2 linked regions of the Elephas maximus indicus genome follow. The protein of the gene in region 2 interacts with the protein of the main gene of each other region in a pairwise test. Links are inferred from orthologs where the notes say so. Each region holds a gene or a part of one and is shown on either strand. Other genes may lie near its edges.

Region 1 (6,970 bases), on a different chromosome or scaffold from region 2:
GAGCTGCCCTGAGTCAGAATCAGCCAGGAGGCAATGGGTTTTTTTTTTTTTTTTTTTTTAATATTACTTGACCAACCTCCTTGGTTGTGATCTCATGCCCCTGCCCCCTCCCCTGGCCTGTCAAAATATTTCTTGAAGTCTTACATATCACTCTCCCCAATTGAAACTCTCCTAAATATATTTTTCTCCTGGTAGTTATATTTTAATGATACTGCAGTGTCCCTTATAGCTTGGCTAACAGAGTGACCTGCTCTGACCAAACAGGCTGGGTGGCTTTGTCTTGGGTCAATGTATTATTTAATTCAGGGAGTACACATGCTAAAAATAGCTCAAGTCCCTCTCCCCTTTCAGGGACACCAGGTCTTGAATCATGAACAATGATCCTGTTGCCTTTCTTTTTTCACTCAGCAGAGGAACTGTTCTTGTTTCTTCTTTTTTAAAAGAAAAAAAAAAAAAAGCTCCTAGGGCCACGGGTTCTGTGGGGAGAGAAACTTGGCCCTGACTTAGACTACCTAAGTTTCCAGCATCTTCTCCAGATAGGCAGACCCCCAGAGCAGGGGCTGTCTCTCTGCAAGGGGCAGAAACAGGGACTGTGAGCAGCAGGAAAAATATTCAGATCAGGCCTGTTTTAAATTCTAATCTTCTTAACTTTTTATAATATTCATTTCCCCTTCTCCTCCAGCTGCCAGCCTTTGCCACTGGAGGTATAAGCTGACGTTTTCTCCAGGGGAGACCCCTAATTTCCGTGGCTCCATAACAGAGTGGTGACAATTTAAAGGCCCACACTTCCTCCCTTCTTCCCCAGCCAGCGTCCCCCTTACCCTGGCCTCAGCTCCTTCCTGCTCCTTTCTCCGTCCCCTCTCCTTTTATCTGCAGCTCTGAGGCAGACAGGGTGGTTGCCAAATTCCAAGCCTGTGTTTGGCCTATTTGACGATGAAAAGGGCCTGATGTTCCCGCCAGAGGTGATTATCAACATCCTTTACGTGGCAAGAAGAGTCTGGAGCCCCTGGCAAGGCCGAGAGGGAAACACTCCTTGAGAAGTGTGCAGGAGCCGGGGGGTCCCCCTCAGACTCTTTGCCCAGTGCCTGGGGGTTTTCAGTCTGCTTCCGTGTTTAGCAAGAGAAGTGGCTGGGAGGGTGGGACACAGCCTGGGAGCCAGAAGAGAGAGGCTGGGAAATGGAAAGGAACTTCATAATACAGTAACCCTGTAACAAGGATGGTCCATGTAATGTGTGGGTCCCGCTGTGAAATGAAAACATGGGACCTCTTGCTCAAAAAGTGGTAAAAAAGTGCCATTAAAAGTTGTTGTTGGCTGCCAATGAGCCAACTCTGACTCATGGTGACCTTATGGAAAACAGAACCAAACATTGCCTGGTCCTGCGACATTCTCACAATCTCCACTATGTTCGAGCCCATTGTTATGGGTGCTGTGCCAATACATCTCACTGAGGGTCTCCCACACCCTCAGTGGCCCTGTACTTCACCAAACATGACATCCTCCTCCAGTGACTGAGCCCTCCGGATGTCCACAGAAAGCGAGTTGGGCAACGTACTGTTGTGATCCATCAGGTTTGCCTCGCTAACTTTCGGAAGTAAATCACCAGGCTTTCTTCCTAGTCCCTTTTAGTCTGGAAGCCCCACTGAAACCTGTCCACTGTGGGTGACCCTGCTGGTATTTGAAATAGCAGTGGCACAGCTTCCAGCATCATAGCAGTATGCAAGCCACCGCGGTACAACAAACTGACAGACAGGTGGTGGCCCGTCAAAGGTACTAAAATAGAAAGCTTTTTTTTTTTTTACGTATTGAAATGATAACATCTTGGATAAAAAAAAATATATGTTGCGTTAAATAACATATAATGTTAAATTAATTTCACCTGTTTCTTTTTCCCTTTTTTTTTTTTTTACTGTGGTGGTTAATAGAAACCTGGAAATTACCTCCGTGGCTCATGTTACATTTCTTTTGGACAGTTTTGTTATGGGTGGATAGAGGAACACGCTTCCATTTTCTCATCGTTTTTAGTACCACATCCATTCAGCGGTATTGAATTTGATGATGGCTGGAATCCACTCGATGGCACGTAACAACAATAAAGGCTGACACAGGCGGCCCAGGGTAATGGGACAAGTGCAAGCTTTGAAGATGGAAAATTTCAGGTTCAAATGTCAGGTTCAACTCCCAATTAGCTGTGTGATCGTGGGCACGTTTCTTAACTTCTGTGATTTTGGTTTTCTCATCTGAAAGATGAAATCCATGATGGAGCCACTGCCTACACTGTGAACATTATAGGAGAGAGCGTGCATACAGGAACGAGTGTGGGCCTGGCCCCTAGTGAACCTCGGTAAATAGTAGCCACTGTCACTGTTGTTGTTATTATTATCATTAGTAGTATTTTTTAGCACGGAAGGGTAAAGGTCTGCGGTCAGTTTCTGGGCCTTGGATCACTCACTCCCCTGTCCCCTACCCCAGCCCTCGGACTCTCTGATAATGACCCCAGAGATGGTACAACAGGCAGCCTTCATTGTTCCCTCCAGGCCCTCTGCAGAGGTGGCCCGGCCCAGGCACTCACCTGCTGGCAGCTGCTGGTCCAGGAGGCCCTGAGGGCACCCCAGCTTCCCGAGCCCGCAGCCTTGCTCTCCAGGTGCGTCCGCAGTTGCCTTTCCAGCTCCCGGATGACCTGCTCCAGGGCACGTACCTTGGCCGTGTATTCCACCAAGCAGCCCCCCAAGTCCTCAGCAGCATCGTGGTCCCCCTCCAGGCCAGGAGCAGGCACAGAGGGCAGGCCTGAGCTCCGAAGGCCCTGTAGGAAGACACTGCTGATGCCCAGGGCTCGGCAGGTCACGTGGGCACCCTGGCCACCTATGTACCCGGTGGGTGTTGTGCCTATATAGATCAGAGGTGATTGGACCAGGCTACCCCCAACATTGGCCCTGGAGCCCAGGGCGCTCTCCAGGGGAGATGATGACTGAGTCCCCCTGAAGGACGCCCTGCGCCTGTGGAGGGACATGCTGAAGCTGGCACCGGTGGGTGCGTCCACCACCACTCGCCTCTCGCTCATCACCCCTTCTGTCTCTGTGGGTTTACACAGTCCAGTGGCTTTTGGAGTCCAGTCCCAGTGGCCTGGTCACAGACCTCTCTGGAAGCTCCCCCGCCCCCAGGCTGCTTTGTTTGCTACTTCCATGAGTTTCCATAATTCGCTGAGACAGGCCCTGCCCAGGGCTGCTGCAGACAGGCACTCAGGCATTCTCTGCAGGACCACGTGCCCAACCTCCTAGCTTGTTTAGCTGGTGTGGGGGCGGGGAGGCTATATCAGTGCAGGCTGTGGGGGTGGTTCATCGGGGGGTTCATGTAATTGGGCCACATGTGTTGACAGGCTTTCACTATCTAAGAGAGGGCAAGGCAGGTCTCAAGCAGCCCCATTTCACAGATAAATAAACTGAGGTACAAGAGACCTTAGCTCATTAGCGAGTGGTTTAGCCAAAGCTTCATCCAGGTGTTCCAGGCCTCATTTCAGTGCCTGTTTGTGCTGCTGGTCTGAATGTGCACATGTGTCAACAGGTAATAGAGGATGAAAGTGGATGAAGGCCAGCATGGGGGGAGGCAGTCCTGGGGGCTCAAGAGAAACCAAGCCAGCTTGTTGCTTCCTTCACCCCCCTCAATCATAGCAGCAGCTTCATGTCCCTCCCTACCTCTATCTTCTCTTCTTACCTCTGCCCTATAGCCCCCTTCCTGGGGGCAGGGTGGGCATTCTTGTCTCTGTGTCTTTCAGGGATGGGGAGGTGTCCTCAGAGAGAGCCTGGGGTGTGGAGGGTCCGTCAAGGTAGATGGGCTCTAGCTCTGCTGTCCATCAGCTGCAAGCTACCTCACTTCTCTGGACCTTGCGTTCCACACGCTGGCCTGACGCACGAGATAAGGGACCTTGAGCAAATCTGGGTCCCACACATATTGGATACTTATTATGCTACGGATGTTTTCCATACCTGTTTCCTCATCTTTTGGAAAACAAATAAATAAGAACAACAAGGAGAGTGGTTTTCCAGTTAGCTGTCTAAGGGAACTCAAGTTAGGATTCAGTAGTCATCCACCGAGGCATGCTGTCGTGGATCACCCTTCTGTCACTTCTCCAGGGCCAGAAAATAGCCCCAGGGCATGACAACCTGGACCTAAACCCATTGAACTTAAGTCTTACTCTGGAGAAACCAGGTAACCAAAACCCAGAGCTGAATTATTTATCCCAGACCCTGCAATGTGGGAACAGACTTGAAGTGAGTGAGAGAAAGGGAAGGGAACCAACTTCTAGTGAGTACTGAACCCACCCCAGTAAATGGGTTCCATGCTTTACTTCATTGACTTCTCAATTCAGTTTTTGGAGGTAGGTACAGGGTTGACGTGTACCGCCATTTTGGGCGCACTGCACAACTCTAGAAGTATCATCACATGCCCTACAATTGGCCAGTATTCCCATTTTATGAGGGCCCTGAGGGCTCAATGACTTGCCCAAGGTCTCATCTCCAGAAAGGAGCAGAGCTGCCTCTTCTGACTTCCAGTCCAGTGACTGACCCAGGCCCTCTCTGTCTCCCACCACTAGAGAAGGGTACCTATGCAAGGTCCCACAGGAGTTAAAAACCTTACTCACCTACAAGAATATCCTGTGTGCTCTTCTTTGCTGCTCATTAGGACAACACCATGCTCCCCCGCCCCCGCTGCCTTTTTCTCTTTCTTCATCTATCTGAGATGGCATAAAAGGCATTTTATCAAGGTTGGTTATTTGATTAACAGATTAAGAAACCAACTTGATCAAGCAAAGGCTGGGGGTATCCCTTCTTTAGACTTGGCCTTCTTGCTGTGAGTGCCACCTCTGGTGCACCTGATGTGGTCATGGCACAGACAAGCCTGTGTATAATAACATCTTCCCAGTGTTAGTTTTTTTTGTTTGGGTAGTGTTAGTGATAAGGAGCCCTGGTGGCACAACAGGTAAGTGCTTGGATGCTACTGGAAATGGTGGTGGTTCGAACTCACCCAGCGGCTTCGCCGGAGAAAGACTTGTTGATATGCTGCTATCAAGATTACCCAAACCCCCAAACCCAAACCTGTTGCTGTTGAGTCAATTCCAACTCATAGCCTATAGGACAGAGTACAACTGCTCCATAGGGTTTCCAAGGAGTGGCTAGTAGATTCAAACTGCTGATCTTTTGGCTGGTAGCTCTTAACCACTGTGCCACCACTGCCCCATCAAGATTACAGCCAAGAAAACCCAATAGGGCAGTTCTTCTCTGCCACATGGGGTCACTATGAGTTGGAATCGACTAGATGGTACCCAACAGCAATGTAGGAGACACTGACTGGCCTAAGGATCTGCATTCTTGTGAATTCCAGGATGTATCAAGGCTAAATGAAGGGTCCAAAATATGGGTGAAGTTGTTGGCAAAGGTGATATGTTTAGGCACTGTTATTCTCCACAGAGTGGTGACCCTCAGTGGCCAGGTTAACTTCAGATTGCTCTATCCTGAAGATGTTTACAATGACTCCACAGAGCCCTGGGAGGGGTAGGATGAGGAGGTGGCCCATCTTAACTGACACCGGTGTCTCCAAAGACCTAAGAGAGAGGATTCTCTTTTGGAGAAATCACAAACATATTCTAAAGGATTTGTTTTCTCAAATGATAGACTGCTAATCCTACTAGCTCATCACACTCATTAAACCCAATTTGCTGTTAAATCCAATTAAAAAAAATAGAGCTAGGCACAAGGTGATATGGGGACTCCTTAAGGAAGTTACGTTAAAGTGAAAAGAACACAAAATGTATTAACAACAATCCTCTGGCTAATAAAATAAGTTTATTTATATATACATGGTAGCTGAATTCTGTGGATAAGGAAAAATAAGTCATACATCCACATACGTATATATAACATATGTACCTTTGATTACATATATTATATATAAATTTTACTTTACAGATTTCTCTCTCCACACACACACACACACACACACACACACAGATATGTTAAATGCAATAGCTAACAGAAATATCATGATAAGGTTAAAAAGGCCAGACAGCAGCATGTTAGAGAATGGATCTCAGAGCATTTAACCTGCTTCTTTGTAGGTCCAAGAGTCTTTGAAGAAAGACAACAGTCAAACACAGGTTAAGTAAGTTCATACAACATTGAGAACACACATTTTTGAAGGCCATATATATATTTTAAAAACTGAAACGTAGGAAGAAAGGAAAAAGTCATGATCAAAAGACCACAGCAACGACACTAACATGTAAGTCAACATTCAAGTTCAATTCCCAATCTGACTGTAATAGCATCTATATTCAAAATATACTATCAAACTATTTCTCTTTTAGAGAAAGGAAACGTGAAAGCAGTTATCTTCTCTCCCAGCCACTGGCTATTAGAAAAAACAATAGACAGGCAGCCCATCTCTGGAAGTCCTTCTTGTATCTCCGAGGGTCTGACTCCTGTTGGCCATGCAGGACGCAGTATGGGGAGGGAGGTGCAGGCAGCCAACCCCAGACGGAGGGGATTATCGTCTACAAAACACAGAGCTGGAGGACCAGTCATTGTGGTGACCCCAACGGCAGATCTGTAACACCGACTGGAGGTTAAAGGGCATCTTCTCTTAAGCGATTCGCTTTAGCAATCTCGGTTTTTTAAGATCGCAGGAGGAAGGTTCCTAAAATTACAGACCTACCCCAAACATGTTTTCAGGGACACAATAAGATTGCCTTTTGAGAAAACAAACCTCCAAACCCTAATAAACATTTGCTGGTGGGCTAGGTCTGCATCTAAACCCTCTAGAGAAAAAGGCACGAGGGTTTAATGCAGATATGGGCAGTGGAGGGGAAGCAGGAACGAACTTAAAGGGGAGACTTTTCCATTAGGAAAAGGCAGCCCTGTAGCTGGCACAGTGCATGCTCACGCTGGCTGCCCTGGAGGCCCTGTTGTGTGATGTTAG
Region 2 (7,875 bases):
CAGGTGTAATGCCCCACTACCCCTTAATATTCCAGTGTGATGTTTTGAAGTACTCTCTATGTGGTAACCAATGGTACAACAATTGAAACCAAGGTATTAACAGTGATAGATATTAACATCTGCTCCTCAAATGGCATTCAAAAATTCCCCCCTTCTCCTTTACATTTTAGTATTCCACAAGTTATTGTTGGTGTTAGGTGCTGTCAAGTTGGTTCTGACTCACAGTGACCCTATGTACAAGAGAACAAAACACTGGCTGTTCCTGCACCATCCCCACAATCATTGTCACGTTTAAGCCTATTGTTGCAACCACTGTGTCAATCCATCTCATCGAGGGTCTTTCTCTTTTTCGCTGACCCTTTACCAAGCTTAAAATCCTTCTCTAGGGACTGATCCCTCCTGATAACATGTCCAAAGTATGCGAGATGTAGTCTTGCCATTCCTGTTTCTAAGGAGCATTCTGGCTGTACTTCTTCCAAGACAGATTTGTTTATTCTCTTGGCATACCATGGTATGTTCAACATTCTTCATTAACACCATAATTGAAAGGTGTCAATTCTTCTTCAGTCTTTTTTATTAGTTGTCCAGCTTTCATATGCCTATAAGGCAACTGAAAACACCATGGTTTGGGTCAGGAATACCTTAGACTTCAAGAAGACATCTTTGTTTTTAAGACTTTAAAAAGGTCTTTCTTAGCAGATTTGCCAAATGCAATGTGTCTTTTGATTTCTTCACTGCTGCTTCCATGGGTGTCGACTGTGGATCCAAGAAAAATGAAATTCTTGACAACTCCAATCTTTTCTCAATTTATCGTGATGCCGCTTATTGGCCCAGTTGTGAGAATTTTTGTTTTATGTTGAGGGGAAACCCTGGTGGCATAGTGGTTAAGTGCTATGTCTGCTAATCAAAAGGTTGACAATTCAAATCCACCAGGTGCTCCCTGGAAACTCTATGGGGCAGTCCTACTCTGTCCTATAGGGTCGCTATGAGTCAGAATTGACTCGACAGCAACAGGTTTGGTTTTTTTGGTTTTTGGTTTTATGTTGAGGTGTAATCCATACTGAAGGCTGTAGTCTTTGATCTTCATCAGTAAGTGCTTCAAGTCCTCTTCACTTTCAGCAAGCAAGGTTGTCATCTGCATAACGTAGATTGTTAATGGATCTTCCTCCAATCCGGATGCCCCGTTCTTCTTCATATGGTCCAGCTTCTCAGATTATCTGCTCAGCATACAGATTGAATAGGTATGATGAAAGGATACGACCCTGACGCACACCTTTCCTGACTTTAAACTACAAGTACTACCTACATTTTCTTAATAAAAAAATCAAACCATATGATTCAAAATGACCCTTCACCTCCGCACCACCCTCTAAATCAAAATCCACTCCCCAGAATCATAAATTAAGAACGCAGCCTCCAAACATTTTTCTGTGCAACACACAGCACTCTTATAAACATAATTTTTCCAATTACTTTTCTTTCATAAAAATATGTCCTCTGACAATCATCTGTGAGTATAAATATATCCAATAATGTAAAAATTAACTTTAATTAATATTTAACTTAATTTTAATTAAATTTCTTATTTTAGAAATCCACCACCAGGTATTTCACAGTGTGCATGAGTATACTTTGATTTATCCATTCCTTTCCCATTTTCTGCTACCACCAGTGGGGCAGAATCTGTGTGTTTTGTGTGATCCGCTAGGAAGGTGACTGAAAAAGGAAAAATCAATTTAAATGTTAAAAATCCTGCCAGATGTGTTACTGCAAAACCTTTACCCACTGGTCTTCCTACCAGCTCAGTATGGGGAGGCATGTGTCCCCACAGGGTCACTGACATCAGACATCACCCTGCTTCCCTTTCTGAAATAATCCGATGGACTGAAAATTTAAATTTCTTCCTTTGCTGTTGAAGTTGAAAAAACCTTTATTTAAATATATTAGCTTATTTGAGTAACTTGATACCGTGACACTAAGAGACTTCTACGGCATGGTGAGTGGAGACCACAGCAGGTGCTTTAAAAAATGGGATATATATAGATCTGTCCAGTTTATTTTTCTCTTTGTCCTTAGGCCTGTCACTGGGTGTCAAGTCCTACTCTAAGAGAGCTATCTGTGCTAAACTTATTTCATTATTCAAACATTTATTTTGTAAAAACACTACCAAGCACCCGCATGTGTCAAGCAGGCACTGGCGCAGGTAAGTATCGAGACAGTGATCAACAAGCGCGTTGACTACAGCATTCTACGGTTCAAAATTCCCAAAGAACACACTGGGGAGATTTTTCTGTTTTTCATCTCCTTGCTGGGCTGCAATTCCTCAATTTTAGTACAATGTGAACAAGCTGCGTGTCCCTCCTTTCCCTGGTTGCCCGAAGGAAAGACAGTCTGGTCTCCAAGCAAACCAGGCACAGTAGGGACATCTGGGGCAACAGGGAACTCTGGCTGTGGACTGGCCGTTAAAATGAGGATTCCCTTAGGTGTGCACTTCAAGGGAAAAGCCCTTTTATTTTTTTTGTTTGTAGATACTCATACGGAAATTCTCACGAAAACTACTTAAATTGCCTCAGCAAAAACTCAAAGGAGCAAAATACAGTGCAAGTTAAATGAGTCATATAAACTATTCCCTTCTCTTTGAAGAACGATCAACGTTTTTTTACAATAAAAAAACTTAGAATCGTTTTCAGTCACTTTCATCCCAAAGATGGAACGGCCCAGCGTCCGCGCACCCGCCCAGCTGGAGCGCGCTCGGACCCCGCACCCCGAGTCTTTTCCAACCCAGCTACCAAGAAGGCCCTCGTCGGCCTCCCGCCACTACCTCCGCCTTTTTCAGACCGGTCCATGGCTCCTGCGAGCTCCGCATTCGAAAGCCCCGACCTTCCCGCCATTTCCTCTCAGCTCGGAGGTGTTGGCGTCTTCGGCGCTTGGGCCGATGATTGGACCAAACCTTGCCAGGGGCGCGACCCCCTGCAACACGCCTGCGCAATGCACTTCCGCCCTGCAGTTACTTCGCGAGGAGGGAAAGAAGAGAGAAACAGGCGTGTAACGGTTCCCCGCCTGAGCCCTCAAGAAGTCGGGCGCCCTGCCGGGCAGCTAGTACGCATGCGTAAAACTTGCAGGTCCACAAATCCAGTTTAGAGAACGGCAGGGCAGCCTGCGGCCTTGCTATTCGTCAGTTGAGGAGCCAGTGTCCTGCGCATGTGTAACGACACGGGCGGGGCGCGCTCCTTTAGCATCTTTGGTGCTGCGCAGGCGTGGGCCTCTAGCCCCGCCCACAGAGGCTGGAGTAAGTGCGCATGTGTTGTGCCATGGCGCCAAGAGCTGGCGTTCCTGCTCTGCTAATACTCCTTAGTGAACAATGGGCTCAAGCATAGCAGTGACAGTGAGAATGCTGCAGCACCGGGCAGTGTTTCCTTCTGTAGTACATAAGGTTGCTGTGAGTCGGAACTGACTCCACGGCACCTAACAACAACAGGGAACACCTGATGCCAGATGTCCTCATTTCACCGATGGCTCCAAGGCAGGAACTTGGGGTCGCAGCCATTTCTTAGTAGAGAACTCCAGAGACAAAAAGGGACGTACAGAGAAACATTCCATGAAAAAGAACACGGAGACACACGGGGAGATACTCAGAACCGGCTACCAACGGCGGTGTTCAGCGGCCTGCGGGCCCCGCCCCCACCAATGCGGGCGGGGCCTCGGAACCACGCTCGGACGCCTGCGCATTCGTTCTGGATCCTGCCCTGAGGAGCCTGCGTTTTGTGCCACGGCGTCCTGGGTGCTCCCGCAGGTCCTGGTCTGGTTCCCTCAGCAGGCCCAAGTCTCCACCTCTTCCTGGGGCCTCTGGACCCCTTGCCGACGCCCAATCGGTGGAGTCGATGGGCACGTTCTACTTCAGCGCATCACGACCGGCAGGCCCCCTTCTCCCCCACACCCCCCCGCCGGCTATAGGGTCAGGGGCAGGGGAGCAGATGCGGACTGTCTGCTGTGCCAGAGCTTTATCTCTGGGAAGAGAAGATGGGTCCCGAGTTCCCTGGGGGCCGGGGCGGGGGATACAATTCTAGCCACTGTCCTGGAGGCAGTATTTGAGTATGTTCCTGACATCAGGGCTGCTCCTTCTGCTCCACAGGCCCGTACGTCAACCTGGCCCCGAGGGCAGGCCTGGCGAGAGTGCATCCAGAGGACCCCGGCCGGCATCCTTGCACCCCTTAGCCCTGCTGGCCAGGCTGGCGTGACCCGCTGTTGCTGCCCTCTGGTTGAGCAAGCTGACGTGGAAGCTGAGGCAAGAGGACCAGGACTGGGGGTTGGCCTGCAGCACCCTGCAGGGACCAAGAGGAAGGCAGCCTGCAGTGGATCATGAGGTGGCCACGTTGCAGGTGCAAGTCTGCCCCGCCCACGCAGAGCCACAGAACCCGACCACCACCTAGAGGGCCCTGGGGAGAGGGCCTCATGCCCGCCGGTCCCTCACATCAAGAAGCTCTCCCTTGCGCCCACCTCCATCAAGTGCTTGATTGGGATCGTTCCCTGTGACTGAGAATGGATCCATCAATCAATTGAACAGTCAAACATAAAACAATAGCTAGCCAAATAAACCCAATCTCGTTGCCATGGAGTGGATTCTGACTCATAGCGATCCTATAGGACAGAATAGAACTGTCTCAAGATTTTCAAGGAGCTGCTGGTGGATTCAAACTACCAACCTTTTGGTTAGCCACAGTTCTTAACCACTGCATCACCAGGGCTCCAAAACCATCTGTTGTTAGATATTGTCAACCCTACATACAATAGAATGAAACACTACGGGATCCTGCGCCGTCCTCACAATCGTTGCTATGTTTGATCCCATTGTTACTTCCACTGTGTCAGTCCATCTCATTGCGGGTCTTCTTTTTTGCTGACCCTCTACTTAAACAAGCATGATGTTCTCCTCAATGAACTGGTGCCTCCTGATAACATGTCCAAAGTAGGTAAGACGAAGTCCCATCATCTTTCCTTTTAATGACCGTTTTGGCTATACTTTTACCAAGACATTTATTTGTTCTTTTGGCAGTCCGTGGTATCTGCCATAACTTAAAGGCGTCAATTCTTCTTTGGTCTTCTGACTTATCTTCCAGCTTTCGCATGCATATGAGATGATTAAAAACAACACGGCTTGGGTCAGGCACACCTTAGTCCTTAAAGTGACATCTTTGCTTTTTAACACTTTAAAGAGATCTTTTCCAGCAGATTTGCCCAAATGTGTCGTTTGATTCCCTGACTGCTGCTTCCACTGGCGTTGATTGTGAATCTGGGTAAAATGAAATTCTTGACAACTTCAGTCTTTTCTCCATTTAACATAATGTTGCTTATTGGTCCAGTTGCAAGGATTTTTTTTTTCCTTTATGTTGAGGTGTAATCCTGCCGTATGATTAATTACTTTTCTGTGTGGTCTTTCTAGCCATGGTCTTGTAACTCCCACTCAGGTGATTGGGTGGGACTGTGTGATAAGATAATTGTGGCCCTCCAAGGGGCTTGGTCATTTTTGACTTAAAAGAGAGCCAATTCCAGAGCAGAAAGGAGGATCCTACCACCACCAACGAAGAACAGCCAGGAGTGGAGCACGCGTCCTTTGGACCCAGGATCCCAGTGCTGAGAAGCTCCTGGAAGCAGGAGACCAAAGGAGTGAGAGAGCAAGCTATAACCCTAAAGAGGGTGAGAAGCGGTTGCAGGAGAGGCCTGGCAGCAGGAGAAGGTGGATTGGGCTTCCTGGCCCACAGAGAAAGCTGACTATCTTTGGGGAGAGGCCTAGGGCTAGGGAGAGGTGTGCCTGTGAGCAGGGTTGGGAAGAGGCTGTCCTGATGAAAGAACTGTATCCTGAGTGTTCTTGAGCCAGAAGTATAACAGTTACTTCCCTTATAATAAACCCTAAATATGGTCTTTGAGTTCTCTGTGGTCATTGCAGTGAAATATCGAGCCCAGCAGAGAAGTAAAGAGTGCTATGTGAGGGACAGTTGATGTCAGAATTAGTACAGATGGCAAAGAGAGGAAGCTTGTCTGGCCTCTGCCTCATGGGAGTCAGCCTTGTGCTGTTGATCTTGATTCTCCTTCCCCCTTGGGTTGGAGAAGGTCAGACACTGCCCCCACACCATTTTTACAAATCTATACTGAAGGCTGTGGTCTTTGATCTTCACCAATAAGTGTTTCAAATTCTCTTCACTTTCAGCAAGCACTGTTGTGTTATCTGCGTAACGCAAATTGCTAATGACTTTTCTTCCAGTCCTGATGCCCCGTTCTTCATATAGCCCTGCTTCTGGGATTGTTTGCTCAGGATATAGATTGAAAAGTATGGTGAAAAGATACAACCCTGATGCACACCTTTCCTGACTTTAAACCACACAGTATTCCCTTGTTCTGTTCAAACAATTGCCTCTTCATCTAAGCATAGATTCCTCATGAGCACAATTAAATGTTCTGGAATTCCCCTTCTTCCCAATGTTATCCATAATTTATCATGATCCACACAGTGGAATGCCTTAGCATAATCAATAAAACAGGTAAACATCTTTCTGGTATTCTCGGCTTTCAGCCAGGATACATCTGACATCAGCAGTGATAACCCTTGTTCCACGTCCTCTTCTGAATCTGGCTTGAATTTCTGGCAGATCCTGTCGATATACTGCTGCAGCTGCTTTCGAATGATATTTAGCAAAATTTTACTTGTGTGATATTGATGATATTGTTGGATAATTTCTACATTCTATTGGATTTCCTTTGTTTGAAATGGGTACAAATGTAGATATCTTCCACATTTCTTGGCATAGATGAGTTAGCGCTTCCAGCATGGCATCAGTTTGTTGAAGCATCTCAAATGGCATTCTGTCAATTCCTGGAGCCTTGTTTTTCTCCAGTGCCTTCAGTGCATCTCAGTACCGGTTCTTGATCATATGCTATATCCTGAAATGGTTGAACACTGACCAATTCTTTTTGGCATAGTGACTCTCTGTATTCCTTCCATTTTCTTTTGATGCTTCCTGTGTCTGCTTTTAGGTCATTAGGGCTCAATGCATCAAGTCTATTAATGACATGGTCTCTAAATTCAGGTGGGATATATGCAAGGTGGTACTTTCGCTCTCGTGGACTTGTTCTAATTTTCTTCAGTTTCAACTTTAACTTGCATATGAGCAATTGGTGGTCTGTTCCGCAGTTGGCCCCTGCCTTGTTCTGCCTGATGATGTTGAGCTTTTCCATTGTTTCTTTCCACAGATGTAGTCGACTTGACTCCTGTGTATTCCATCTGGTGAGGTCCACGTGAAGCATCGCCATTTATGTTGGTGAAAAAAGGTATTTGCAGTGAAGAAGTCATTAGTTTTGCAAAATTCTATTATGGGATCTCCGGCACTGTTTTTTATCACCAAGGCCATATTTTCCAACTACCGATCCTTCTTTCCAGATTTCTCATTCCAAATCACCAGTATTTATCAGTGCATCCTGATTGCATGTTTGATCAATTTCAGACTGCAGAAGTTGGTAAAAATCTTCAATTTCTTTACCTTTGGCCTTAGTGGTTGGTGCCTAAATTTGAATAATAGTTGTATTAACTGGTCTTCCTTGTAGGTGTATGGATATTATCCTATCACTGACAGTGTTGTGCTTTGGGATAGATCTTGAAATACGTCTTTTTGACAATGAATGCGACACCATTCCTCTTCAAGTTGTCGTTGCTGGCATAATAGACCATATGATTGTTCAATTCATAATGGCCAATACTAGTCCATTTCAGCTCACTAATGCCCAGGATATCCATGTTTATGCATTCCATTTCAGTTTTGATGATTTCCAATTTTCCTGGACTCATACTTCATACATTCTATGTTCCGATTATTAATGGATGTT

What was found.
Region 1: the proteins of SYCE1 (region 2) and BFSP2 interact in binary tests that used the Homo sapiens proteins (3 or more experiments, as listed by UniProt). The two-hybrid records come from large-scale screens. The link is inferred for Elephas maximus indicus from reciprocal best matches to the Homo sapiens genes SYCE1 and BFSP2.

Annotation. Positions count from the first base shown.
Region 1 is NC_064844.1:46,439,246-46,446,215, forward strand, and holds the start of BFSP2 (phakinin), read right to left. Parts: upstream 3,060-6,970; coding exon 2,571-3,059; intron 1-2,570.
Region 2 is NC_064834.1:83,296,324-83,304,198, reverse strand, and holds the start of SYCE1 (synaptonemal complex central element protein 1), read right to left. Parts: upstream 3,046-7,875; 5' UTR 2,892-3,045; coding exon 2,822-2,891; intron 1-2,821. UniProt on the Homo sapiens protein: Major component of the transverse central element of synaptonemal complexes (SCS), formed between homologous chromosomes during meiotic prophase. Requires SYCP1 in order to be incorporated into the central element.